Nothobranchius furzeri: one gene and its partners. The protein of the gene in region 2 purifies or fractionates together with the protein of the main gene of each other region. This does not show direct contact. Links are inferred from orthologs where the notes say so. Each region holds a gene or a part of one and is shown on either strand. Other genes may lie near its edges.

Region 1 (3,929 bases), on a different chromosome or scaffold from region 2:
TAGGGTGGAAAATAAAAAATTATGTTCTATAGAATCAAAAGCTTTGAAATAGTCTATAAATAAAATGAGGCTGTCCGTTTCCAAAATAGACCAATAATCCAGTATATCCAGTACTAATCTCACATTATTATGTATGCTTCTTCCTTTTATAAACGCAGACTGATTATTATCTACTATTTTATCAATTACCGTTTTCAGTCTTTCTAATAGCGCTAATAATTTATAATCATTGCACAATAGAGTAATTGGCCTCCAGTTGTCTAAGTCTGTTGTATCTTTTTTTGGTTTGGGAAGAAGGGTTATTATTCCAGTTTTCATTGTTGGGGTAAGACATCCTTCATTTATACACTCATTAAATGTACTTAATAACAATTCTTGAACATCTTCCCAAAAAAAATTAAGAAATTCTGAGGTCAATCCATCAATACCGGGCGATTTCCCATTTTTCTTTTTTTTTCAGGTAATTTTCTACTTCGTTAATATTCAAATCATCCTCCAGATTTTTCCTGTCTTCCTCTCCAATAGATTTAATATTGTTCTTTATCTGAGTGAAGAAGGATTTACATTCCTCCTCACAGAAATTAGAACAATATAGGTCTGAGTAAAAACGTTGAACTTTCTCCTTTATTTGATTTTGGTCTACTATTACAGTGTCATTTTTTTAAATTTGCATATTTTCTTTTTGGATTGTCTAGACTTTTCTAATCCATAAAAATATGTTGAGTTCTTTTTAGTGCAACTTAGTATGATGGGTATGATCTGACAAGCTACGGGTGGCGTGGCGCTGTGGCTCATCCTTCATTAATTTAATTGAAAACATCTAAAGGTTGGAAAAGTAATAACACCACCCTGCAGTTTAACTCAACTGTGCCACCTTGTTGTAATCATTTTTTAATCAGTCGTTTAGTCGTTTATGCCTAAGTATCGCCCGAAGCTTCCTCGTGAACAACCAGTGGCAGTGGCGTTACAGGATCTGCTCGGGAACACACCGGAAATGAGTGCTACGTCGAGGTCTGTTCGCCCATGTATTATGTCGTATTCATGTCCATGCATAAAACAAGCCTCGATATTTAATGAAGTATATATATCAGGAGGCTTTGTTGTTTCATGTGTGTTCTTTTACATTTTAGCCAGGGATACGTGGAAAGGAACCACACTAAATAAGTAGTGGAACCATTGAAATGTATATAATCTAAACCAAAGCCATTTTGGAGGGGACACATATCAACGTCACACAGACCATTCATCCGGCATTTGCGTTTGCTTTGGTTGTTTTGGTCGAATGTGAGTAAAAAACAATTTGAATATTAACTGTCTTTATTCTCGTTGCGTTTCTTACTTGGGTTAGAAGGTATGTCGGTGAAAACGTAAACGGTGTGTCTACAGTTGGCTAGAAGCTAATGCTAGGCGCTAATCTCATCGGTTCACTCACGTTAAAGCTGAAAACGTTACCTCAGTTTGTACTCTTGACGGAATGTAGCTCGTTGTAACCATCGACATAAATATACGTTGTAACACGCTGTTATCTTTATTATAAGTAAATAGCAATAATTAAAGCTTGCATTTTACATCAAACCCTTCCGGCATGTTTGCTAACGGTAGCTAATTAAAAGGCACGAGAAAAAACAGTCCGATTCAAAACAAGTGTTTGAGTTTCATTATAAGATCCAGATGCCCCGCCTGATTGCCCATTGACCGCTGGAGATGGGCACCAGACCCCCGCGATCCTACGTGGACAAAGCGGGTTCAGACAATGGATGAATGAATACGATCCAGAACCACCATAGAAGTAAAGATGTCCATGGAAACAGCGGACACAGAGTTTCAGGCTAAACTCCAGCGGACGTGATGTTCATTAATCCCCTAAAGGCAGTTTGGTTCTAATTCTCCTGCTCGGAATTTTTTTTCCTCAACAAAGATCATTTTATCGTTTAAGCTGCCACCGTTAATCACATTTATTCTGATCTGCTCGCTCGTCTTGTCCAGCTGAGGCAGATGTTTTATGTATTAGTGAGGATGCATCTGTACTTTAAAATGTTTATGTAATTCTTAAGACCAGAGAGTCCACAGAGGAGGAAAGTCCCCTTCCTGTCAGTCCACCATGGCGGACATCAAGAACTTCCTCTATGCCTGGTGTGGGAAGAAGAAACTGACTCCAAGCTACGATATTCAAGCTGCAGGAAACAAAATCAGGCAGAAGTTTAAGTGTGAGGTGAGTCCTCCACCTGGTTCACCTGAGGATGCCGTCTCTCTCCCTCTTTATGGTTCTGACCATAAACACTCTGTGCCTGCAGGTTCGTGTTGATGGCTTCAACTACACAGGGATGGGGAACTCCACCAACAAGAAGGATGCTCAGACCAACGCAGCCCGGGATTTTGTCAATTATCTGGTCCGAATTGGACAAATGAGTGCAGCTGAGGTTCCTGCTCTTGGGGTCAGTTCTGTTTAGTTTTTACTCTGAATGGTTTTTGTGTTTACAAACATTCACACTGGTGATGTAGGCTTAGGGTTTCCCAGAGGGATGCACCAAAAATGTTGGCCACCAAAACATTTGGCTGAAAATGACCCGAAGGTGCTTTTTCTGTTTTTTAGCCGAGACAGACCTCCGCCCTCATGTGGCAACTTGCTCTTTGCTTCATAAAAATCATACATTCGTACTGATTTCAAAAGGATAGTAAAGTTTTCTTCTTTTTAGTAATGCTGTTTTATTCCGATCACTGAAATTATCATATCGATTATATATGCAACACACTTTAACTGTTTTCACATCTACCGCGTCTGCCTGACTTTTTTTTTGCTCTTTGACATTCCCCTATATCTGTCACTATTAGCGATGTTCCTTTCTGCACCCAAATATGTCCTGAACAGTGAAATAAGCTTTGGATCGTGTGTGTGAGGCGTGTTTACACTCATGAAGCACACAGACACTGTTGCTGCTGTGCAGCTGCAGTGTCTCTTTCTTCCTCACTGAGAACGAGTGATTGTCTTTATCCGAGGGTGAATATTACTCTTCAGAATCAGTCGGCCATTACCAGACAACTTTGTCAACAGTTAACTCTATGTACTCCGAACACTTTAACAGAAACACCAGAAAGTGTTACTCAGCTTGAAGTTACACTACACTGTCTTTTGGTGTAAAGTAAGAACTTCATGAGGGATTATATTTGCAGCTGTGGCTCGTTAAACACAATATTTCGACTTTGGCACCTAAAGGGTTAATTATACGGCCTTTCTCAGCATGCCTGTCAGTTTTAAGTCTGTACATTTATAATTTGTAATATATCAGTTTATTGCCAGACTTGAAGTCCATTTTAAAAGAAAATAACATAATGATAAAAAAATAACATACAAGATAAACACAGGGAGAAAAAAAAAGATACCAATTAACATGAATACTAATAAGATCCTATATAAAACACAGGATATAACTGCAGCGGGAGTAAGGGACAACAAAACTAACTAGTTGAGATAAATCTACCCCAACATTTTAACCAGTGCTTTCTCAGCCTAGACAACTAACGAGAGCAGCTCACAGTGGGATGTGAATGCAACTATAATACTATTGGAAGATTCAGCCGTCTCATGAACTTGAATATTAAATTTCTTAGAAGCGCCTTAAATGTGCACACTCAGAAACTAACGTTTAACTAGCACTGCCTCCCCTGGGAATTTTGAAGAGGATTCTCATTGCATCGTTGTAGGCCACTTGTAGCCTGTGCAAGCTAGACTTTTATAGAATGACCACAGATGTGCAGTATATAGTGGTGTGCAGTATGCTTTAAATAATGCCACTTTAACAGGTGTGGAACAACTGCTACATTTCCCTGCAGTGGTGTTTGCTTGCACATATAGCTTGCCTGTAAATATCATCATCGTCACTCATATTGGCTGTGATAAAGTGTCCAAGATATTTTATCTTCTCACAGAC
Region 2 (3,500 bases):
GCCCGTACTTCCCACTTTGTCTTCTTTGAGGGATAATAAATGTCCTGAGTGCTGCCGTCTCCTCCTTTGGCCATTATTTCAGCTTTAGCTTCAAGAAAGTTTTGGTTGTAAACAACTAAGCGTGCATGTGCCGCCGGCAACTTCAGCAGATGATACGGTGGCTGGTAAGGGTCACCGCGCCTACACCGCAGCCACGGTAAACCCACCGAGATAATATAGTTTTTAAAAACAAGACGGTTATTATTATTGTCAACTTTTTTACGGGGTTTACTGCTACACCGGTTACCCTGACAACCCTAGTTGTAAGTAAATTTGATTTATATAACACTTATCACAGGCAGAATCACAATCTTCACACAGATCAAAATAAAATATAATGATCTCAAAACAGAAATAAATTAACGTCAGAAAAAATAAAGTAAAACCAATGAAAGATTACTACAAGTGTCCAGACTGTCAATCCTACATAAGGATAAAGGAAGATCATTCCAGAGCCGGGGTGCAACAGACTGGAAGGAGCATCACCTAGACTTTTGTATCTGGCCTTTGGAACTTCTAGAAGGTTCTGGTGGGTGGACCTGAGGGCTCGGGTTGGAGCATAAGGCTTTAACAGTTCAGTAATATAGGGAGGAGCTTGACCATGTAGAGCCCTGAAAGTTCTAGTCAGGATTCTAAAATGACTCTAAAGGTAACAGGTAACCAGTGCAGAGACATCAGAATAGGAGTGATGTGAGCTCTTCTGTTTGCTCCAGTTAGGAGCCTCGCTGCAGAGTTCTGGACCAGCTGAAGGCGGTCAAGGGCTTTTTGTTAAAACATGTGAAGAGTGTGTTACAGTAATCTAGACGGGAGGAGATAAAGGCATGGAGAACCATTTCTAGTTCGTGTTTCGACACCAACCTTTGCAGTTTAAAGATATTAAGTGATGAAAACGGTTCCGGACCAATGTTTTTGAGTGGCCTTCAAGAGACATTGATTGGTCAACAACGCCCAAATTCCTCAAGGTTGTCTCCATATTATGTCGGAGCTTTTCCTTGGTTTGTACTTGTTATTAATGAGTTTGTCTCTAAACTGAGATTTCTTCATCCAGTAATTGTTTGTCTCTGTTGAGGTTTCTCAGGGGGAGAGCTCAGTCAAGCCTGCAGCTGAAGACATGACATCAAAGGACTACTACTTCGACTCTTACGCCCACTTTGGAATCCACGAGGTACGTTTAGTTTGGTACCTAAAACATTTTCTGAATTTAAAACCATTAAGCCTATTTGATGTAATAGTTGAGACCTCATCATGTGTTGATCTCAGTTTCTCTCTGTTGTTGCACCTTTCCTTTCGCGTTGCTGTAGGAGATGCTGAAAGATGAAGTTCGCACTTTGACCTATCGCAACTCCATGTTCCACAACAAACACCTTTTTAAGGACAAGGTGGTTCTGGACGTGGGCAGCGGGACGGGCATCCTGTGCATGTTTGCTGCCAAAGCGGGGGCCAAAAAGGTTATTGGGGTAGGTGTTGTCTGGCAGCATGTGTATCTGTCACTGGGAGCATGAGCAGCTCACCTGTCTTTGCTTGAATAGATCGAGTGCAGCAGCATCTCCGACTATGCTGTGAAGATAGTGAAGGCCAACAACCTGGATGATGGTGAGGAGATGGTTCACATGTGGTGCTGCTCTTCTGGCTTACGGGAAGGTGGATGATTGAAGTAGGTCTTCTTTTCTCTCCAGTTGTGACCATCATCAAAGGGAAGGTGGAGGAGGTGGAGCTTCCAGTGGACGGCGTGGACATCATCATCTCCGAGTGGATGGGCTACTGTCTGTTCTATGAGTCCATGCTCAATACAGTCATCTATGCCAGGGACAAATGGCTGGTGCGTGTTTGTTAGAGCCAACGTGTTAAACTCAATCCCAGAGTCTAACCCTGAGATTAGACACTCCACCTACTCTTGGCGGGTTTTCTTTTACATACCTTGAGTTCACACCTTCACTTTTTAACAAATCAACTGATCTGAAAACAGATTTTGGTCGAGAGGACTTTCTTGATCCTCAGATAATTTCTCTCATTTGTCCCAGAAACATTCTCCGCCTCTTGTTCAGTCCAACTCTGGTTAGATCTGGAATGTAAACGTTCGATCTTAAACATTGATGGGTCCGAGTGAATAGACAGTGGTGGCTTGATGCTGGGGGTTTTAATGCCTCCACGTTGAACCAATCACTGGCGGGCTGTAAATCAGCTGTTTTAAGACCTGGTGTTTGTTGATCGAAGTGGAACCAGTGGAGTTGTGTGTTCAGATTGATTCGGACAGCTTCTCATTAAGGATCAGCTAATCGGCTTAAAGTGCTGCAGTTTGTTTAGCTGTGGTTGCCTTGGTGACTCCAGGTATCTGGGCACTGTAGGGTCACTAAACTGAAACCAAAAACTAGAGTGTCCCTCCCGGTTTTAATGCCTCTTTACTCCTGTCCCTCCAACAGAAACCAGATGGACTCATTTTCCCAGACAGAGCTACTCTGTATGTCACTGCCATAGAAGACCGACAGTACAAGGATTACAAGATCCACTGTGAGTACCTGGGGACTGCTGACCTTATTTTGAGTTGTGCCATTAAAGCAAAGGACGCTCAGATCACCCAGTCATTATGGGGCGATCTCTGGCAAATTAGTTGATAGGGATGTTTTCCAAATAGTCTTTCTCAATTAATTCCTGATACTCTGACATCTCACCTCTGATTGGTTGGTCTCTCAGTGAACTTGCTAATGATGGAGGCCCACCCTGCTAGTTGCAGGAGACAGCCATTTTTTTCATGTCCCACTCAGAGATTACTCTGAAATGAAACCGTTTACTTTCCCCTCCTAAATGAAATGGGATTTCCGGCCCCGCCCACAACCAATTCAAAACGAGACTGCCTGCATGTTCCCTGACTGTTTGCAAGAAAACAGAAGGGTCAGGCACTGGTCATTAGGCGCATGCGTGATGACGTTTAAAATGGCGGTGCCCATAGAGAAACCGACAGGAAGTCAGCACTGTGCATGCGTGAATGTGTACAGTGAGTAAAACGCCCCAGAGAGCCAAGAAACACTTAAGATGGGTGAAAAGGCTCCAGCTACCGGGGGCTTTGCCCCTTCACCCTCGCCTAAGGCGACCCCCACACCCCCGGCCCTTTTCAGGTTTTTGTTTTCACTTAAAAACCACATCCCTGATTTTACTAGTTTTTACAAATACTTTTATACAGGGTGTCCGCGGGTCCTTAAAAAGTCTTAAATTTACTTTTCCAAATTTAAGGCCTTGAAAATCCTTAATGACAAATAATCCTTAAATAAAGTTTCCAAAGGTCTTAAATTACCAAAGACCCATTAAACTAGATTATTTTATTTCTGTAAAGTTTTCGTGAATTTCTAGTTGGTGTTCAGCATTTTTTGTGTATGACATTGGCGTAAGCGGAACCGTACACATTCAGTTGGTTGTGAAAGGGGGCTATTTTTAGATGAGCACATTAGCTTGTTAAGCTAGTGGGA
Region 3 (3,950 bases), on a different chromosome or scaffold from region 2:
TTCATATTTTAAAATTTTCTTGAGCCAGTGTGTGCTAAAACAACCCTGTACAGGGTTAATGAAATGTCACTCAGACCCCGACCACCCTCTATGGCCAGAATGTCGCACTTGCAACTTCAGAGTTGGACTTGTGGAGCTGACATGCCTGGTGCTGCAGTCTGCTTCCTGCATGTTTTAGATCATAAACACTGCTGGTTTGGTCAATTTAGTGATGAGCTGCTCCTGTAGAAATTAAGGAAGGATGGGGAGACATTATTATGGATTAAGGTGTTTAAAAAGGTGAATGCACAGTTTCACTTTTGGTTTTACTAACAGAACACTAGGGGCTGCTAAAAGCAACCCAAAACTGGTTAGTTGTGCAAAAAAAAAAAAAAAAAAAAGCAAAAGTTTAGAAATCTAAGGGGTCAGTAGCCATCACCAGTTCTGTGTAACTGCTTAAAGAGCAAGTCACCCCCTACCAGAGTATTACTCCGCTCCCACTTCCTGTTTGAAAAATGCAACAAATTCTGTTGCCTAGCAGACCAAGAGGGCGGGCCCGCTAACAAATACACACACACACAACGACATTGTGACATCATATGCTACCAGCTAACGTTCTAGGGTACCCCTTTGCCAATAACGATGGCAGATTTAAATTCAAATGCAGTGCAGAGTTTTTACCTGACAACGGCACAACACTCACAGTTTTAGGCAGAAAATTTAAATTTTAACTTAAATGCACAAAAGTGCAAAACTACACGTGTCTGCAGCACGGTTAGATACGCATTTATATAGTTTATCAGAAAAAAGTTGATCTGGGAGTGTCTTGCTCTTTAAACACTTAACTATATTATTTTAAAATCCTTGACTTTGTGAAAGTTTCTTTTAAGAATTGATGATTGATGTGGTTTAGTTTTTCCCGGTTATTTCTTCAGTTTACAGTTTTAGTTTCGATCAAATGTTATATGTCATATTTGTCAAAAAAATATTTATTTATTTGTTCTGTATTTTACCACATCTGTGTAGAACTTTTGCACAATTCGCACATTTTCCTGTCAAGGTTTCTTTTAGATACATGCTCCGCCCGGTTCCGCCTCATCGTCGACAGTAGAGGGGATCACGTTCACGTACTCACGTCAGGCTTACGTAGAGAACGTCGTGTTCTACTACTTGTGTTTAGCAGCTGCTACAAGAATCAGACACCGTTGAGCCTTGAAAGGGACAGGGAGAGGGACCGACCGTGTCTAGGGTGTAACATTCTTAATTTGTTCAAAGTTTAGCGTTATTGGGGCAGCAAAATGACCGATAAGATGGATATGTCTTTAGACGACATTATCAAACAGAGCAGGCAGCAGAGAGGTGGAGGCCGGGGAGGAAGAGGCCGTGGCCGCGGAGGCACAGGCAGCGGCCGGGGTGGAGGCGCTGGGCGACTCGGAGGCGGCGGCGGAGGCTTTGGAGGCCGAGGCGGTGGATCCGGCCCCATGAGGAATCGACAGAACCTGAGTCGCGCTAGAGGCAGACCTACGCCTTACAGCAGGGTATGAGAATGTTAGAGGAATAAGCAGAGAAATGTTTTCATATTGTGTCCCTTCTCCCGCAACCCAAATGTGTAACGCACGTCGAGCTTCAACAGCCTACGGAAGGAGTGGAGGCCCTCAGCGCCATTTTGAATCCAGCCCCGCATTGTGAAGCTAGTCGTCAGTGAGTGCTCAGTGAGAGGTATCCTGGCCACGGTGGTGAAAGAAACCCACTTCGTCAAGAGTATCACTCGAAAGTGTGTTTTCACTGCTTGTCGGAGCGGGATATGTGCTCAAGTTCCCGCCAGCGCAGCGACCAGGCGGCCTTTTGTTCGGGGAGTGGGTTCTCAAGCCCTCTGGTGGCTTTTTCTACCAGTTTGCCTGTTACTTGTGGATGGAAAAGCGGACTTTTACTCCTCTGTTAGTGCCCAAACAAAACCGGTTCTTCGTCTTTTAAAGTGTGATCGAGTTGGTAGCGAAGCCAAACAAAGCCCCAGTCAAAATGGCGTGGTTTCAAAATGGACGCTCACGCAGAGGGGAGATCTGGCCATTTTCACTCCTCATCCAGCACACGGACTCTTCCCCTACTGAGAACTGTTCTGAGGTCCAGGACACAAAGTACCAGCGCTGGAGACGCCGCTGCATCGAACAGGAGTCCCCGAGTGTCCCGAGGAGCTGGCTTTTCTGGAGGGAGGCGCAGATGGCGAGAACAATGGGCATCTCTGGTAGCTAGTCTGAGGAGTTTTACAGGTTTAGCATCAAGTCTGTGGGTTTGGGTTTAAGAAATATCTGTGATGGTAATACTTAGGTTTCTGGAAAGGCTCGTTAGTCTATTCTAGGGTTTATTTCACTAGAAACCCAGAACAGGACTGTTGAGTTTTGTTTTTATGGTTTTGTTTTTAATCCATTTACTACATCAAACTTGGATCTAAAGAATACATTTTTATTTTAAGTGGGCTTTAATGGGACCATTTTTCTTTAGACAGTTGATTAGAGTGATTGAAACAAGTGGCTCCCAGATCTTTTAACTTCTGATTTACAAGATCTGTGATTAAAAACCTTCATTATTCATGACGGACACGTACAAATAGCCAATAAGACAATTACATTAGGACAGGAAGATGACTCCATCCACTTTCACCAAGACTAAACGCTTGTCAGTTGGTCTGTTTAGATGTTTTCTCTTCATATATGTCAATTATTTTTAAATTTGATAATCTCAACATTGGTGTCCTGTCCTAACTTTGGGAACCAGTGAGTTTGAACTAGGGATGCACCGATACGATACTGGTATCGGCACCGATACCAATACCAGTATCGGTGAAAGTTAACCAATACCAGGAACCGATACCAATGCAGTTGCTTGAAAATGGCTTCACTGTAACTTGTCATTTCTGTTCACCTAATATTTTAGTTTTGTGATGATTTCCATTCATATATTTTACTTTTTATCTACCTCACAGTCTTTTCCTGTTGAAAGCAGAGAAGAAAGTAAAATCTGCATTCCAAATCATTGCATTTTTTTTTTTTTTGTGTGGTAGAAGTATCTGTATTGGTATCGGCGAGTACTAAGATCGGTTTGGAAAAAAGTGGTATCGTTGCATCCCTAGTTTGAGCATGTTTTTACTAACTTAAATCAGTATGGACTTTATTGTGATGTTTGTACACATTCCGATTTAAGATGGCCCAACATTGGTGTGTTAACGTTTAAAAAAGTTCAAAATTTGAATCGAAGCGAGACTACTACAAATCCCCTTGCTTTTGAGTATTTGTGTGCACGTCCCTTTGAGCTGATGCACTTGCTCGTTGTGACGGGGTGGGCAGGGAATACTGGGGACCCCCCCCCCTCTAAAGGGAGCTGAGCACCATGTTGGAAGTGGAGCCCCCTGCTTGCCCCAACAGCCAGCCGTGTGGACTCAGTGATGGGCAGAGGCAAGGGGATCCTGAAGTCAGCAGGTGCGTTCTCTTTCATCTGTTGCAGCCTAAACAGCTCCCAGACAAGTGGCAGCACGACATGTTCGACAACGGCTTCAGTGGCTTCAATGGTGCTGCTGGGGGTGGCGGGGGAGCTGGTGTGGAAACTGGAGGGAAGCTCCTCGTCTCCAATCTCGACTTCGGTGTTTCCGATGCAGACATTCAGGTACTCCAAAATCCGCGCTTCACTGGTTGGTTGTGTTTTATGGCTTGTTGCTGTCTTAGACTAATCTTGGATGTACTTTTTCAAGGAACTTTTTGCGGAATTCGGAACTCTGAAGAAAGCTGCAGTTCATTACGACCGGTCGGGAAGAAGCTTAGGAACAGCAGATGTCCACTTTGAAAGGAGAGCTGACGCTCTAAAGGCCATGAAACAGTACAACGGCATCCCACTGGATGGTACGCTTCAGACCTTGTTTACATTTTTCTGGTTTGACATGACTAAATAATTCAAACTTTCTTGAGTGTTCAACCCCCTTT
Region 4 (3,657 bases), on a different chromosome or scaffold from region 2:
TAAACCCTAGAAATGGTTGTGGGTGAAAATCCCAGTAACTGAGCAGATTGTGAAATACTCAGACCGACCCGTCTGGCACCAAAAACCATGCCACGCTCAGAATTGCTTAAACCACTTTTCTTTCCTATTCTGACCTTCAGTTAAGAGTTCAGGAGATTATCTTGACCAGGACCACACCCCTAAATGCACTGAAGCAACTGCCATGGGATTGGTTGATTAGATAATTGCATTAAGTTAAACAGGTGTTCCTAATAATCCTTTAGGTATGTGCGCACACACACATGGTTCACAGGATGTAGTATAGAGAAGTTTGTAGGTCTTAGGTTTGAACGTCCAACCTTCTAACTGGTGACGTTTTCCCAGTGAGACACAGCCATGGAAACCATGTCCCTGTGGGCACCAATCGCAGAACAAAAGCTAAGATCACACCAGGACATCTGCTTTTCTACATGCTCCAGAACACCTACAGGCCTTAAATGTTTGACATGAATCAGAAAATATCTCATTCATCATTTTATTTCCTTAACACAACTTGGGAAATAATTTTAAAACAAACATCTTGTCAGCTTCACGGAATACAAACAACCCAAAGCCTGAGCACTTCTTTCCCTGTCAAATATAAGAGAAAATGACTCGTCTTAAAATTCTTGTAAAATTATCATTTTAAAAAACGTTTCCACTGCAAGTTTAAGATGAGCCAAAGAAACTCTGGAGGTTTGAGGAAAAACTAAGAAAAACTAAACAGTTTACACCAAACACCTGTTTGACTAAAACTTCATACAGGAAGTCCGTGGACATCAGGGTCAAAGTCCCCTTGAGTTTATTCATCAGCTGATTGGCTCTTCAGCAGCAGGTGGATGCACGGCTAAACAACAGGGTGCAGCAACACCACTTGACGCTACGCCCCAGTCTTCAGCTCTGGTCTCGCTGGGCCGTCACTCCATGCTGTCGGGATCTGCCTGGGCCATGTAGGCATCCAGTTCTGCATCCAAGTGTCCCTTGGTCTTTGACATGTACGCATCCAACTGATTGTCCAGTTGTTCCCTTGTAACGGTGGGCCGGCCAAGTCCTCTGCCCCGCCCACGGCCGCGGCCCCCACGACCAGCAAATCCCCCACGTCCACGAAGTCCACCACGGCCTGAAGACAGAACATCATCAGTGAGACAGTGAAAAAAAAAAAGACACGAGTCATCAAACGATTGTACTAATAAATACAAACTCTACCCCGGCCTCTGGGCATTCCACCTCGACCTCCTCCTCGAGACAGAACTCCTCCTCTTCCTGCCACTCCTCCACGATGCCGACCTCCTCTACGCATGGGGAAGCGTCCGATGCCCCCCCGACCTCTCATAGGTCCACCTGTAGGCATTCGCCTGGCTGTTTAACACAATGTGATTGCTCAGCTGAGAGGAAACACCCCTACCATCTCCACGCTGACGGACACCTACCCCTCAGAGAAGACAGACCCCCACGAATGATCCCTCCTCTCAAACCCCCTCTGAGGCCTCCTCTGGTCATCCCCCGCATGCCTCCTCTTCCTCCAGGAGGTCCACCCCGCATCAGAGGCCCAATGGGCCGGCCCAGCCGGGCCTGGATGTTGCCTTTCCCCAGACGTTGCTTTAGGCTCTGGTGGTTCAGAAGGATCGGTCACAGCAACAAATCAGGAACACAAATAAAGCGAAGCAAGAGTAGGTCCAGCTTGTTATCCCAGCTTTCCATCAGACGCGCGAGCGTCACAAAATGTCCACAAAGCGTAGTACGTAGCACTTAGCTTCTATTATATTTACCTGTAAAACCTCTGTGACTGAGGTAAACAGTAAGTACACCACAGACCTGCTAGGATACCGTTACCATCTTTCTCCATGCTTGTTATCACGTGAACCGCTGAAATCATGCTTGATCTAGCGTTTTCCTGTGATTTTGTAACGTTGTGGGTCCAGCTGTGACACATTCACTGCCGCTTCATGTCAGAAAATCTCCCGGTGAGACGATATGCACCGCTGAGCTCGTGAGGAACCGCGTCACTTATGCATCCAGTGGAAAGCTCAGGTTAAGCCGGGTGTACACTGTGCGACTTTTTCACTTTTTTGAGCCGATTTTCCACTCGTGCGAGAATCCACGAGATCGGGGCGAGTTTTGCGCTGAGCGTCGTGTACAGGGGGCTACGAGAGGCGATTAACACCACGTGACCAGCTACCGATCAGCAATCGTGAGCTCGCACAGACTTCTGGCGTGTTTAATATTTTGCTCGTCCCTCGTGAGGGTATCGCACTGTTGAAGCGGCGCTGCGAGCAGCTGCGACCCAAAAAGTACCAGAACCGCTCACGGCACATGCATGCATCAACACCGCTCGCCCGCTATTTCCCTAATAACACACGTTGTTCGTTTTTATTTTCTACACTTTTTTTACTCACAAAGGTTGTCAAGAAAGCGTGTTTGTCGTGTTCATGTCAAATTAAACTGATCACAAAACACAGATTTACTTTCTTTATTTTGTTTTCCTCATCCAACCCCCATAAATCCCTGTGTGTCCCCCTGCAGCACTCCCGAAGGACAACAGGCAAAACAAGACAAAAAAGTCTGACGTGTTGTGTAAAAACTGCTATTTTTAGCACATTTTTAGGGCCGACGTGTTGCTACCAGACGTACAGCGTGAGCAGTCAGATCGCATCCGAGAACTGGGTCGTGCAGTGTGAGCGCACGACTCGTGAGATCTGCTCTGTGAGGAAGTCGTACAGTTTGAGCTGAAGCTGAGTGCTACGAGTGAAAAAGTCGCACAGTGTCCGCCCGGCTTAAGGGTACAACAAGACTATTTGGACATCTCACCCCTGATTGGCTAACAGCAACACAACTCTACCACTAACCTTGTTTGATTTGCATCATTGATGTTTTACCTCCATAAATGAATGAGTTCTACTGTATAGAGTAGCAGCTAATGCTAACAGTTAGCTTCTATTAGCCAAGGCAAGCTCTAGTCTCTCCTGAATGCTAAACCAACAACTGCCTTCCCCATCTTGAGCCAAGATGGCCGAGTCCATGAATGTTAACTTACTGTGAGGTAGATCTGACTGGCTTTGCTAACCTGAGAATTTCCTCGTCTGTTTTCTATCGGCTAATGCAGGAAAAAGGGGTAGAAGACTATTCACATATTCAGCCTGCATGTGAAACTCAGAGTGACCAATCATTTAAAAAAATAACACATAAAAATGGTTTCTCAGTGAACTTGTTCTTTAAACCTTTTATCAGCTATAAAGCAGCTCGTTTCGATTTGATCGTTGTCTCACTCCCATTTCTTTTTTGTTGCACATTGAAGCTCTACTTGGGACCTTGTTAATGACCAACCAAACAAACACGACGTTTGGCCATTTTCAAATGGTCTTAAACTTTTGATCAGGACTGTACTTCCCAAACAGCAAATGCATCTTCTGTCAGGCTTGGGTTTGGTTTCAATGATAATTCACTGATAAAACCAGAACAGAATCTTTCTGACTTGAGAACCCATCAGACCTTTGCTAACTTGTGCCCTTTTCCCTACTGAACACAGCTTTAAGCCTGATTTATGCTTCTCCGTCTGCGTCAGTGCGGAGACACGCAACGCCATTATCCGTCCTTGCGTAGGGATCCGGCAGGCACGCAAGTCCGTACGGAGTCGAGCCC
Region 5 (4,240 bases), on a different chromosome or scaffold from region 2:
CTCTGTAGCTTCAGGAGCCACACACAGCACCTCCTCCTCCTAAAACAAAAACACACGAGTCCATGAGACAAACAAACATTTAACTGGTCACACCTTCACTGCCACACTCACCTCTTCAGAGAAATACTTCTCAATCAGGTTGAGGGCAGCTTTGTAGATCATCTCGTTCTCGTGAGACTGCAGCGCCTCGATCTTGTCCAGTCCGCCGCATTCTTCGATCATCAGACTCAGCTTGTCGGCCTCTCCGATTTTATCCCCAGCCTGACGAATCCGACAGACAAGTTTCAGGACCGTGAAGCCACACACGAGAAATCAGCTGATCCAGTCCATTCACACATGTGCTCACCATGAAAATATTAGTTATTGCGTCCAAGATGACGAGGACCGTTTTGCTGTCCTTGGAGGAGAGCAGATTCAGAAGAGGCTCGAGAACATTGACCTGCACCAGATACACCACCTGCTGAACAGTGCCCCCACTGGTGAAGTTTGTAACTGCCCACACCGCTTCTTTTTGAGTTTTGTAGTCACCCTGGAGAAGCAAAAATAAAAATATATTTCTAAACTGTTAGAAGAAAAATAAAGTTTACTCAACAATCTTGTGACACGACGACATACCTGAACGAGCATTTCCACCATGTATGGAACGAGGCCTGCGTCGATGACCTCCTGGATCTGCGTGTCCTTCCCAGCTGTGATGTTGGACAGAGTCCAGGCTGCCTCCTTCTGGATGTTGGGCTTCTTGTGGCGCAGCAGGTGAGGGAACATGGTCAGCGCCTTGGCGTCCAGCACCGCTTGAGTCTGCTCGTCTGTGCCGGTGACGATGTTTCCGATGGCACGCAGCGCCGGAGTCTGGGGGAGGATGATCCATTAACAACCGGGTCCAAGTTGTGTCTCAGTGCAAGGACACGAGGTTTAAGACGGCTGAAGCCCACAGAAACCATACTTGCCAGAAAAGTTACTTACAACTATAGACAGCGCCTCAAAGCCGAGCAGATTCACCAGGCGAGGAATCAGCCCCGTCTGGACCACCACCTCGATACGGTCGTTGGAGCCGTCAGTCAGGTAGGACACGGCCCAGCATGCATCAGCAAGCACCTCCAGGTCATTGTGATGCAGGAGACGAATGAGAGCAGGTAGGAGCTGTTCGATTGCACTCATCGGAGGAGAAGGATTCTTGTTACGGCACAGGTTTGAAATAGTCCAAGTCACATTCCTCAGGTAGCCAGGCTACAGAGAACAGAAGAGCAGGTGTCAGACTAAAGGGGTGAATTATTTTATTGGGTTAGGACACCACCTAGTGGCGGGAGGGATTAACGATTACAGGAATGCGACCATTTCCCAAATGGAGTTCTTGGAAAATGTAAAATCCGAGAAGACTTACACTAAAGACAGTCCAGTCAGGAACTTCCAGCAGCCTGAGTAAAGGTGCCACAGCACCGTGCTTAATTACCATATCTCTGAGAGCAGATCCATCACCTATACAAATAAAAAAATTTAAGTTATTTAGGTTAAAAAAAAACTTGCCTAAAGAATAACTCTGCACTTACCTGCAATGTTTCCAAGAGCCCAGACTGCCTGCTCGCTGATGTGCTGGTGGGGGGATAGGACCAGGTTAATGAAGGCAGGAATGGCCCCACCCTCCACAACAGCAGCCGTCTGATCCGATGTGCCAGAGGCGATGTTCGTCAGAGCCCAGGACGCCTCAAACTGGATAGGAGGACAGTCCGTCAGGCCGAGGAAGGCCACGAACTTGGATATCAGACCAACGCTGATCATCTGATCAATGGGAGGGCGCTTGTCTCGTGACAGAAGTTTCCTGATGACAGAACATCACGGTTGAAGTTACTGCATCAATACTGGTTTACTTTGGAATTTGCAACGTTAAAAAAAAAGACTGTTACCGTGCAGCCTGGGTGGCTTGAAGCTGAGACTCCAGATTACCGCTGTTCACCCCAGTAACGATCTCCTCCACGGTCCATTGTCTTAAATTCTGCTAATGGGGCAAAAGTGGGTCATAATTTAGTGGAAAAAGTTAAGAAACAGGGCTCAAAATCAAAGTACGAGGCTCGGGGTTTGCAACTTTCACCAGATACTGGGACTATTCACCCCCCTACAGCTTAAGATGCAGACCACGTCCTTAACGAATGACACCTGAAGTCTCACCTGGCCGTTCTGAGTTCTTTCCTGGAGAGGAGAAGTGGCCTCTTCCGGTTCTGTGCACACGTTCCTCCTTTTGAAGATCTGGTCGTCTTTCTTGGCTTTTCGAAGCTCGACGTTCACCTCAGCCCTCCTGCGCCGAAGCTCCTGCGTCAGATTCAAACGAATTCAAGTTCAACACAAGTCTGCGCATTCTACCCCGATCACTGACGCTGGGTGCAGCGAGTCTTACGTTAACGTCTTTGCCTTTGTTCTTGAATTTGTTCAGACGTGCGACGTTCTCGGACATTTTCAAGCTAGTGGACTTGAGTAGATGCAAAGTTGGTTCAATTCCTGCGGAAACACGTTTATTTCACACGAAGGTTAATCGATTTGCTCCGAGCTGCCTCGTGACACCATGAGCCGTCAGAAACCGCCGAGCGCTTTACTTCCTGTTTGAAATTAGTTCATTGCTAGTTAATTAAAATAGTGAAATCACGGCTTGGACAGACGAAACAGAAGGGGAAGAAATCGTAAACACGTTTCAAACTTTCCGAATGAGCAGCAAGACCTCACTCACCTGGACTGGAACAGTTGTGATATGGAGAAAATACCGCACAGACCTTTAAATTCCTACTAGACTCGCCTCTGATTGGCCCGTTCGAGCCCAAACGTCGAGCCCTGAGCGTTCATTGGACTGTTCAAAAATTTCATAACACGCACCGGAAATGTCGTTACGTTACGAGAATATCGCGAGACTTATATAACAGCGCTTGTTGGGTTAGATTGTAGTGTTAAAAATAAATCTTTTCACTCTTGTAGGCTAGAAAATAAATGTCCAACACACCAAAGTTAGCGAAAGCCAAAAACTAAATCTAATTTAAAACGGAGCAGCAAACTTTTACTAAAGTCGAGTGAGGTTTTTTTTTAATATTTAAAGAGCAAGTAACCTCTAAATTAACTTTTTTTGCTGATAAACTGTATAAATGAGTGTCTAATAGTGTTTTAAATGTGTGTATTCATTTTTTATAATTTTTTTCTCAGAATTATGAGAAACCAAGTCAGGATTCTGAGATTAAAGTCAGAATCGGTTTCTGTTTGAGACAGCAGGGGAAAATAATGTATAAATAATTCAGATTACATTTAGGCACACACAATTAAGCAAATCTGACACATTTATAGTAATTATGTAAATATATATTGTAATTTTGAGATTTTTTAGTCAGGGATGGAGATTCCTATGGACGAGCTGAGAGTGATGCAGTGTAGTTCAGATATTTTTCATTTGTAACACAAAAAAATCAAGTCAAGAACTGATGAATTTTTTATTTCATTTTTATACAAAAAGGGCAGGAACCTTCAAATACATAATTTTCATACTTCTCAGTCACTACTGCAAATTCACTTACAATAGCCTTTTACCATATTTTCAGTAGGATATATAGAAGTTTAACCAAGATGACTACTGATGTCCAAATATTTAGTAAACTTTCTTTCATGCCACCTCAGACTAAAAAGATAAGTGGAAATGAGTGGCGGGGAAGATAGTCGTCTGAATTCAGACGAATCTCATGGTACATGATGCTCAGTAAAGCTCAGCCATTGTACATCAGTCTTGAAGTTTCTGTTATGAGCTGACATGAAGACCACAAGAAAGGCCTGAGGATTTTTTTTACAAAAAAAAAAAAGGGTTAAAAGAAAATTACACGGAATCGAGAGCTCAGCTCCAGAAGTAAACTTTATCTGAAGTGCCTCCGCTGTCCTCGCACCACCTCCTCCCAAGTGCAGAGCTTCTTATGAAGACAGGTCCCGAGACGCCCGCCTTGCAGCTGAAAACGTGCAGAGGGCAGCTCTGTCTGAAAAACGCCGTGAAAGCAGCAGTGCTGGTTGACTCGGTCGCCCGGCAGCGTGTTGTAGAGTCGGTCTGGAAAAGCCGTTTTCTTGGCGAGTGCATTTTCTACACAGCATTTTTCTAAGAGACCGAAGAAGCCTGAAGTTTGTTGTTATGAGACCTACAGGATGTGGAGAAAGGGGAAGAAATGAAAGCTCCTCACACTTTTATTGCTGTTCTTGCTAGGAATAATCAGACAGAATGGGTGAATGG
Region 6 (4,138 bases), on a different chromosome or scaffold from region 2:
CGCTCTATGAGCTAGATACATTTGCCGACCCATCACTGGTTGAAAGGCAGTTTGCGTCTGTACATACATACATACATACATGCATGCATGCATGCATACATACATACATACATACATACATACATACATACATACATGCATACATACATACATGCGTACATACATACATACATGCATACATACATACATACATACATACATACATACATGCATGCATGCATGCATACATACATGCATACATACATACATACATACATACATACATACATACATACATACATACATACATACATACATACATACATACATACATACATACATGCGTACATACATACATACGTACATACATACATACAAACATACATGCGTACATACATACATACGTACATACATACATACATACATGCGTACATACATACATACATACAAACATACATACATACATACGTACATACATACATACAAACATACATACGTACGTGCGTACATACATACATACATACATACATACATACATACGTACATACATACATACAAACATACATGCGTACATACATACATACGTACATACATACATACATACATACATACATGCGTACATACATACATACATACATACATACATACATACATACATACGTACGTACGTACGTACATACATACATACATACATACATACATACATACATACATACATACATACATACATACATACATACGTGGTGCCTTGCAAAGGTATTCATACCCTCTGAACTTCTACATATTTTGACCACAAACTTCAATATTTTTATTGATATTTTCTTTGCTAGATCAACATAAAAAAGCACATAAGTGTGAAATGAAACATGGTTTTCAAAAATTTTAAGCAAATAAAAATATGAAAGTGTGTTGTGCATTTGTATTCAGCCCCCTGCATAAATACTTTGTGGACTCATCTTTTGCTGCAATTACAGCTGAATGGCTTTGGGGGGTGTCTCTTTGGGTTATGTCCCTACCAGCTTTCCACATCTAGAGCCTGAATGTTTTGCCCTTTGTTCAAGCAACAGGCGCAATAAAGGTAGAGGCAACAAAACACAGCTTGAAGCAGATGGTGTGATTAGATAGATTATTGATAATGAGTTGTTATTAGTCTACCTGGTCATCTGTAAATGATGTAAGGGGTTTGACAGTCTTGTTTTAGGTGCCCCGTTTAAACTTGGGGCACCCGTCTCTCATCTCTGCACTGCCCTGTTCTTGTTCCAGTTTTAATACCGTGGTGGCTCTGGCTCGACTGTGCTGCTTTTAGGATCATTACGGTAGTGGTTAGCGCTCTGCTCCCCCTCCCGCCGCCGAGGCTGGCTCATCAGCTCCCTCTCCGTTGGTGAAAGGTTGGATCGCGCGTAACGTTTGGCGTCGTTTCGAGCAACATCTACTAACAAAGTGCACGTTATTGTTTATTTGTCGACGTATTTTAGTAGTTTGTCGTTAAACGTCCACAATGAGCACGATTAACGTGAAGAAGCTTAAAGTAAACGAGCTAAAAGACGAGCTCAAGAAACGAAACCTATCAGACAAGGGGCTGAAGGCCGATCTGATGGACCGCTTGCAGGCCGCGCTGGACGAGGAGGCCCTCGCTGGAGACTCGGCCGCTCAGGATGTGGCGACGGACGAGCAGGCCGCGGACATCCAGGAGGGTATGGGGGAGGAAGAAGAAGGCCCGGTAGAGGAGAGCATGGAGGCCAACGAGGGAGAAGAGCCGGCGAATGACGGCGACGGGAACGGTGTGTCGGTGGACGAGGAGATGGGTGAGGGGGAAGAGGAAGGTGACGAGGAGGACGAGATGGATCCCATGCTAAAGGAGGATGTAGACGACATGGAGAAAATTGACACAGAAGATGGTGAGCCCGGCGATCACGCTACTGAGGGTGAGAAGAAACAATACGCTATGAAAATGATTTGTTGGATGAACCGTGGCTGGGTGTCATTTTGTGGGGGGAGGTGGGAACTGTAGCGTAGATTTGAATGCTTTTCCGTAAGGGAGGGGTAGCCGGTTGTTACCGCTTATCATGGCGTCCATGTTGAGTCAGTCAGCGTGATTCAGGCTAGTTAGCATTAGCCAACGCCTTGGTTACAATAATTTAAATGTACGATTCTCTAACCCAGTTTACCAACGGATAGTAGGTTAATTGACACGGACTAACTAAGGAACATGCTTATAAATAATTCTTAAGAAATTAATTTGTTATTTTTCTCTTGTGTCGCTTGATAGTAGCACGCTAGTTAGCATCGTTTTTCCTTTGTATCGGTCTGCGCTAGCTAGCCGTGTTAGCCATTTCAGAGGTTCCCATCACGCTTTAGTCGGTTTTCCTCTCGCCAAGGCTTCATCTGGACTACGTTTGATCAGCTCTAGTTCAGAACTACAGCACGTAGACGAGGCGGGAGGGGGCTAAAGTAATTCTTTAATACATATAAAAACTAAAACGTGTTCTGTTTTCAGAACAGGATCAGTTCTTACGTGCTCCAGTCGCAAAAACACAAATTACTGAAGACAATTTTAGTTTTTAGATTTTTTTAATGAGTGGGTCCAAACGTGGTCTAAATCCCCCATGCGTTACATTTTCTACCTCTGATCAACTAGGAGTGGCACACATTACTGATGAAGTTTTCTACAAGGACCGCTTCTGATCTGGTCCAGAGATCAGCAAGGCACCAGAGTCTGTCACCTTGCTTCATATGACTGGTTCTGATGTGGTCCCGTTATCAATAACACTTTAGTCTTACTGAATGATTAACGGTTTCACAAACTCCATTTGGTAGCACTTTTAGCTTTTAGCAAGGTTCACATCCCAGCTCCAGCCTTTCTGCATGGAGTTAGCTTGTTCTCCGCGTGCATGTGTGGGTTTCCATGGTTTCCTTCCGCAGGTCAGTGCATGTCAGCTTCAAACTGTTAGTCCAGATGTCTGCGTGTTTTTGGGCTGGACCACTTTGAGTTGCCCATAAGAACTAAATTGTCCCAGTCTTGGACTGTATGTGATTGATTAAATTATTAAAGATTCTATCTAGTGTAGACGAGTGAAGTCCAGAATCGTGTTTAGCCGGATCAAAAGCCAACACTAGCATCAGGTCTGGTTATGAGGTGCAGATGTTTGAAGGAAGAGCCTCAGCAGGCTGATGTAAAAGACCTGAAGCTGTATTTGGGTGTTAGTTTGGGTTATGAGCTTGGGAACCTCTGAACTTGCTAACCCAGCGCTTTGCAGAAGAACGGAGTGGCCTACAACTTTCCTGATACGTCCATCGTGTGTTTTCGATTTGAAATACAAGCGTGATATTAAAGGGTATACATACATTTTTATTTACATATCATCCTTTTCTTTAGCGGGGGGTGTCATTGGGCTTTAGGTAGGTTTCCCTGCATGGTTAACTCCCCCTGATGCAGTAGACCCTCATCTAGGACTAGAGGACTTGTATCTGAAGGGTTCTTACCCTTTCACGACCCCTTTTCCAGCCCCATCAAGCTCTGCTGCTGCTGTTCATTTGGGCCAGTTCATGCTGTAATTACTACCTGGTCTTACCAGTTGTTACAAGTCATGTAATATGATTGTACTGTTTTAAATGTAACTATGAGGTGTTTCCTCTTGGTAATCATGCTAGACGCAATGTAAATAATGAACGGGCTTCGTGGGCCAGAACCCCACTGCCAGTCCGACCTCTCTCTCTCTCAAAAAGGAGCACCTCATTCTATATCTTTGTTCTATTTTCAAAGGAGATGCGGACAAAGACACGAATGCTGATCAGAAGAATAAGAAGGGTGTTAAGAGACGCCGGGAGGAACATGGAAGGGGCTACTTTGAATTTATTGAAGAGAACAAATACAGCTGGTAAGGATGGGACAGAGCCGAGGTGGCCTTCAGCATCCCTGAAGCGCCATCCAAGCTTTGTTGAACTGTATTGGCTTTAAGTGCCAATGCACATAACTAGCAAGAGGTAAAGCCTCGTTTGAAGTATTCTATCATATATTTATGATATAACCTTTCACACATGTGTTTGAGGGTCATCCCTGAATAGCTAAAGCCTTACCATTTACCTTTTTACACTCACATTGTGTCTTTAACGACTGCATTCTGTAGCAGAAGTGCATCTATCAATCTCATATCTGTTC

The links.
Region 1: the proteins of prmt1 (region 2) and dhx9 purify together in Homo sapiens (affinity purification with mass spectrometry; 3 studies listed by BioGRID and IntAct, with this or other methods). This does not show direct contact. The link is inferred for Nothobranchius furzeri from reciprocal best matches to the Homo sapiens genes PRMT1 and DHX9.
Region 3: the proteins of prmt1 (region 2) and alyref purify together in Homo sapiens (affinity purification with mass spectrometry; 3 studies listed by BioGRID and IntAct, with this or other methods). This does not show direct contact. The link is inferred for Nothobranchius furzeri from reciprocal best matches to the Homo sapiens genes PRMT1 and ALYREF.
Region 4: the proteins of prmt1 (region 2) and chtopa purify together in Homo sapiens (affinity purification with western blotting; 7 studies listed by BioGRID and IntAct, with this or other methods). This does not show direct contact. The link is inferred for Nothobranchius furzeri from reciprocal best matches to the Homo sapiens genes PRMT1 and CHTOP.
Region 5: the proteins of prmt1 (region 2) and kpna2 fractionate together in Homo sapiens (co-fractionation; 3 studies listed by BioGRID, with this or other methods). This does not show direct contact. The link is inferred for Nothobranchius furzeri from reciprocal best matches to the Homo sapiens genes PRMT1 and KPNA2.
Region 6: the proteins of prmt1 (region 2) and hnrnpub purify together in Homo sapiens (affinity purification with mass spectrometry; 4 studies listed by BioGRID and IntAct, with this or other methods). This does not show direct contact. The link is inferred for Nothobranchius furzeri from reciprocal best matches to the Homo sapiens genes PRMT1 and HNRNPU.

The regions. Positions count from the first base shown.
Region 1 is NC_091751.1:34,779,871-34,783,799, reverse strand, and holds the start of dhx9 (ATP-dependent RNA helicase A), read left to right. Parts: upstream 1-1,129; 5' UTR 1,130-1,284; intron 1,285-2,054; 5' UTR 2,055-2,101; coding exon 2,102-2,212; intron 2,213-2,294; coding exon 2,295-2,435; intron 2,436-3,929. UniProt on the Homo sapiens protein: Multifunctional ATP-dependent nucleic acid helicase that unwinds DNA and RNA in a 3' to 5' direction and that plays important roles in many processes, such as DNA replication, transcriptional activation, post-transcriptional RNA regulation, mRNA translation and RNA-mediated gene silencing.
Region 2 is NC_091758.1:13,908,465-13,911,964, reverse strand, and holds part of prmt1 (protein arginine N-methyltransferase 1), read left to right. Parts: intron 1-1,108; coding exon 1,109-1,204; intron 1,205-1,340; coding exon 1,341-1,496; intron 1,497-1,568; coding exon 1,569-1,632; intron 1,633-1,715; coding exon 1,716-1,858; intron 1,859-2,459; coding exon 2,460-2,547; intron 2,548-3,500. UniProt on the Homo sapiens protein: Arginine methyltransferase that methylates (mono and asymmetric dimethylation) the guanidino nitrogens of arginyl residues present in proteins such as ESR1, histone H2, H3 and H4, FMR1, ILF3, HNRNPA1, HNRNPD, NFATC2IP, SUPT5H, TAF15, EWS, HABP4, SERBP1, RBM15, FOXO1, CHTOP, MAP3K5/ASK1, MICU1 and NPRL2.
Region 3 is NC_091752.1:50,607,744-50,611,693, forward strand, and holds the start of alyref (THO complex subunit 4), read left to right. Parts: upstream 1-1,150; 5' UTR 1,151-1,277; coding exon 1,278-1,517; intron 1,518-1,781; exon of another isoform or gene 1,782-2,014; coding exon of another isoform or gene 2,015-2,221; intron 2,222-3,477; coding exon 3,478-3,636; intron 3,637-3,721; coding exon 3,722-3,869; intron 3,870-3,950. UniProt on the Homo sapiens protein: Functions as an mRNA export adapter; component of the transcription/export (TREX) complex which is thought to couple mRNA transcription, processing and nuclear export, and specifically associates with spliced mRNA and not with unspliced pre-mRNA.
Region 4 is NC_091751.1:23,238,926-23,242,582, forward strand, and holds the end of chtopa (chromatin target of PRMT1a), read right to left. Parts: intron 1,627-3,657; coding exon 1,449-1,626; intron 1,378-1,448; coding exon 1,225-1,377; intron 1,139-1,224; coding exon 936-1,138; 3' UTR 501-935; downstream 1-500. UniProt on the Homo sapiens protein: Plays an important role in the ligand-dependent activation of estrogen receptor target genes. May play a role in the silencing of fetal globin genes.
Region 5 is NC_091752.1:67,643,898-67,648,137, forward strand, and holds the start of kpna2 (importin subunit alpha-1), read right to left. Parts: upstream 2,801-4,240; 5' UTR 2,717-2,800; intron 2,491-2,716; 5' UTR 2,447-2,490; coding exon 2,390-2,446; intron 2,305-2,389; coding exon 2,164-2,304; intron 1,994-2,163; coding exon 1,902-1,993; intron 1,817-1,901; coding exon 1,548-1,816; intron 1,477-1,547; coding exon 1,382-1,476; intron 1,228-1,381; coding exon 964-1,227; intron 850-963; coding exon 616-849; intron 530-615; coding exon 347-529; intron 262-346; coding exon 112-261; intron 40-111; coding exon 1-39. Other genes in the region: nucleosome-remodeling factor subunit BPTF, read right to left, coding at 4,109-4,148.
Region 6 is NC_091742.1:29,998,752-30,002,889, reverse strand, and holds the start of hnrnpub (heterogeneous nuclear ribonucleoprotein Ub), read left to right. Parts: upstream 1-1,338; 5' UTR 1,339-1,477; coding exon 1,478-1,904; intron 1,905-3,742; coding exon 3,743-3,857; intron 3,858-4,138. UniProt on the Homo sapiens protein: DNA- and RNA-binding protein involved in several cellular processes such as nuclear chromatin organization, telomere-length regulation, transcription, mRNA alternative splicing and stability, Xist-mediated transcriptional silencing and mitotic cell progression.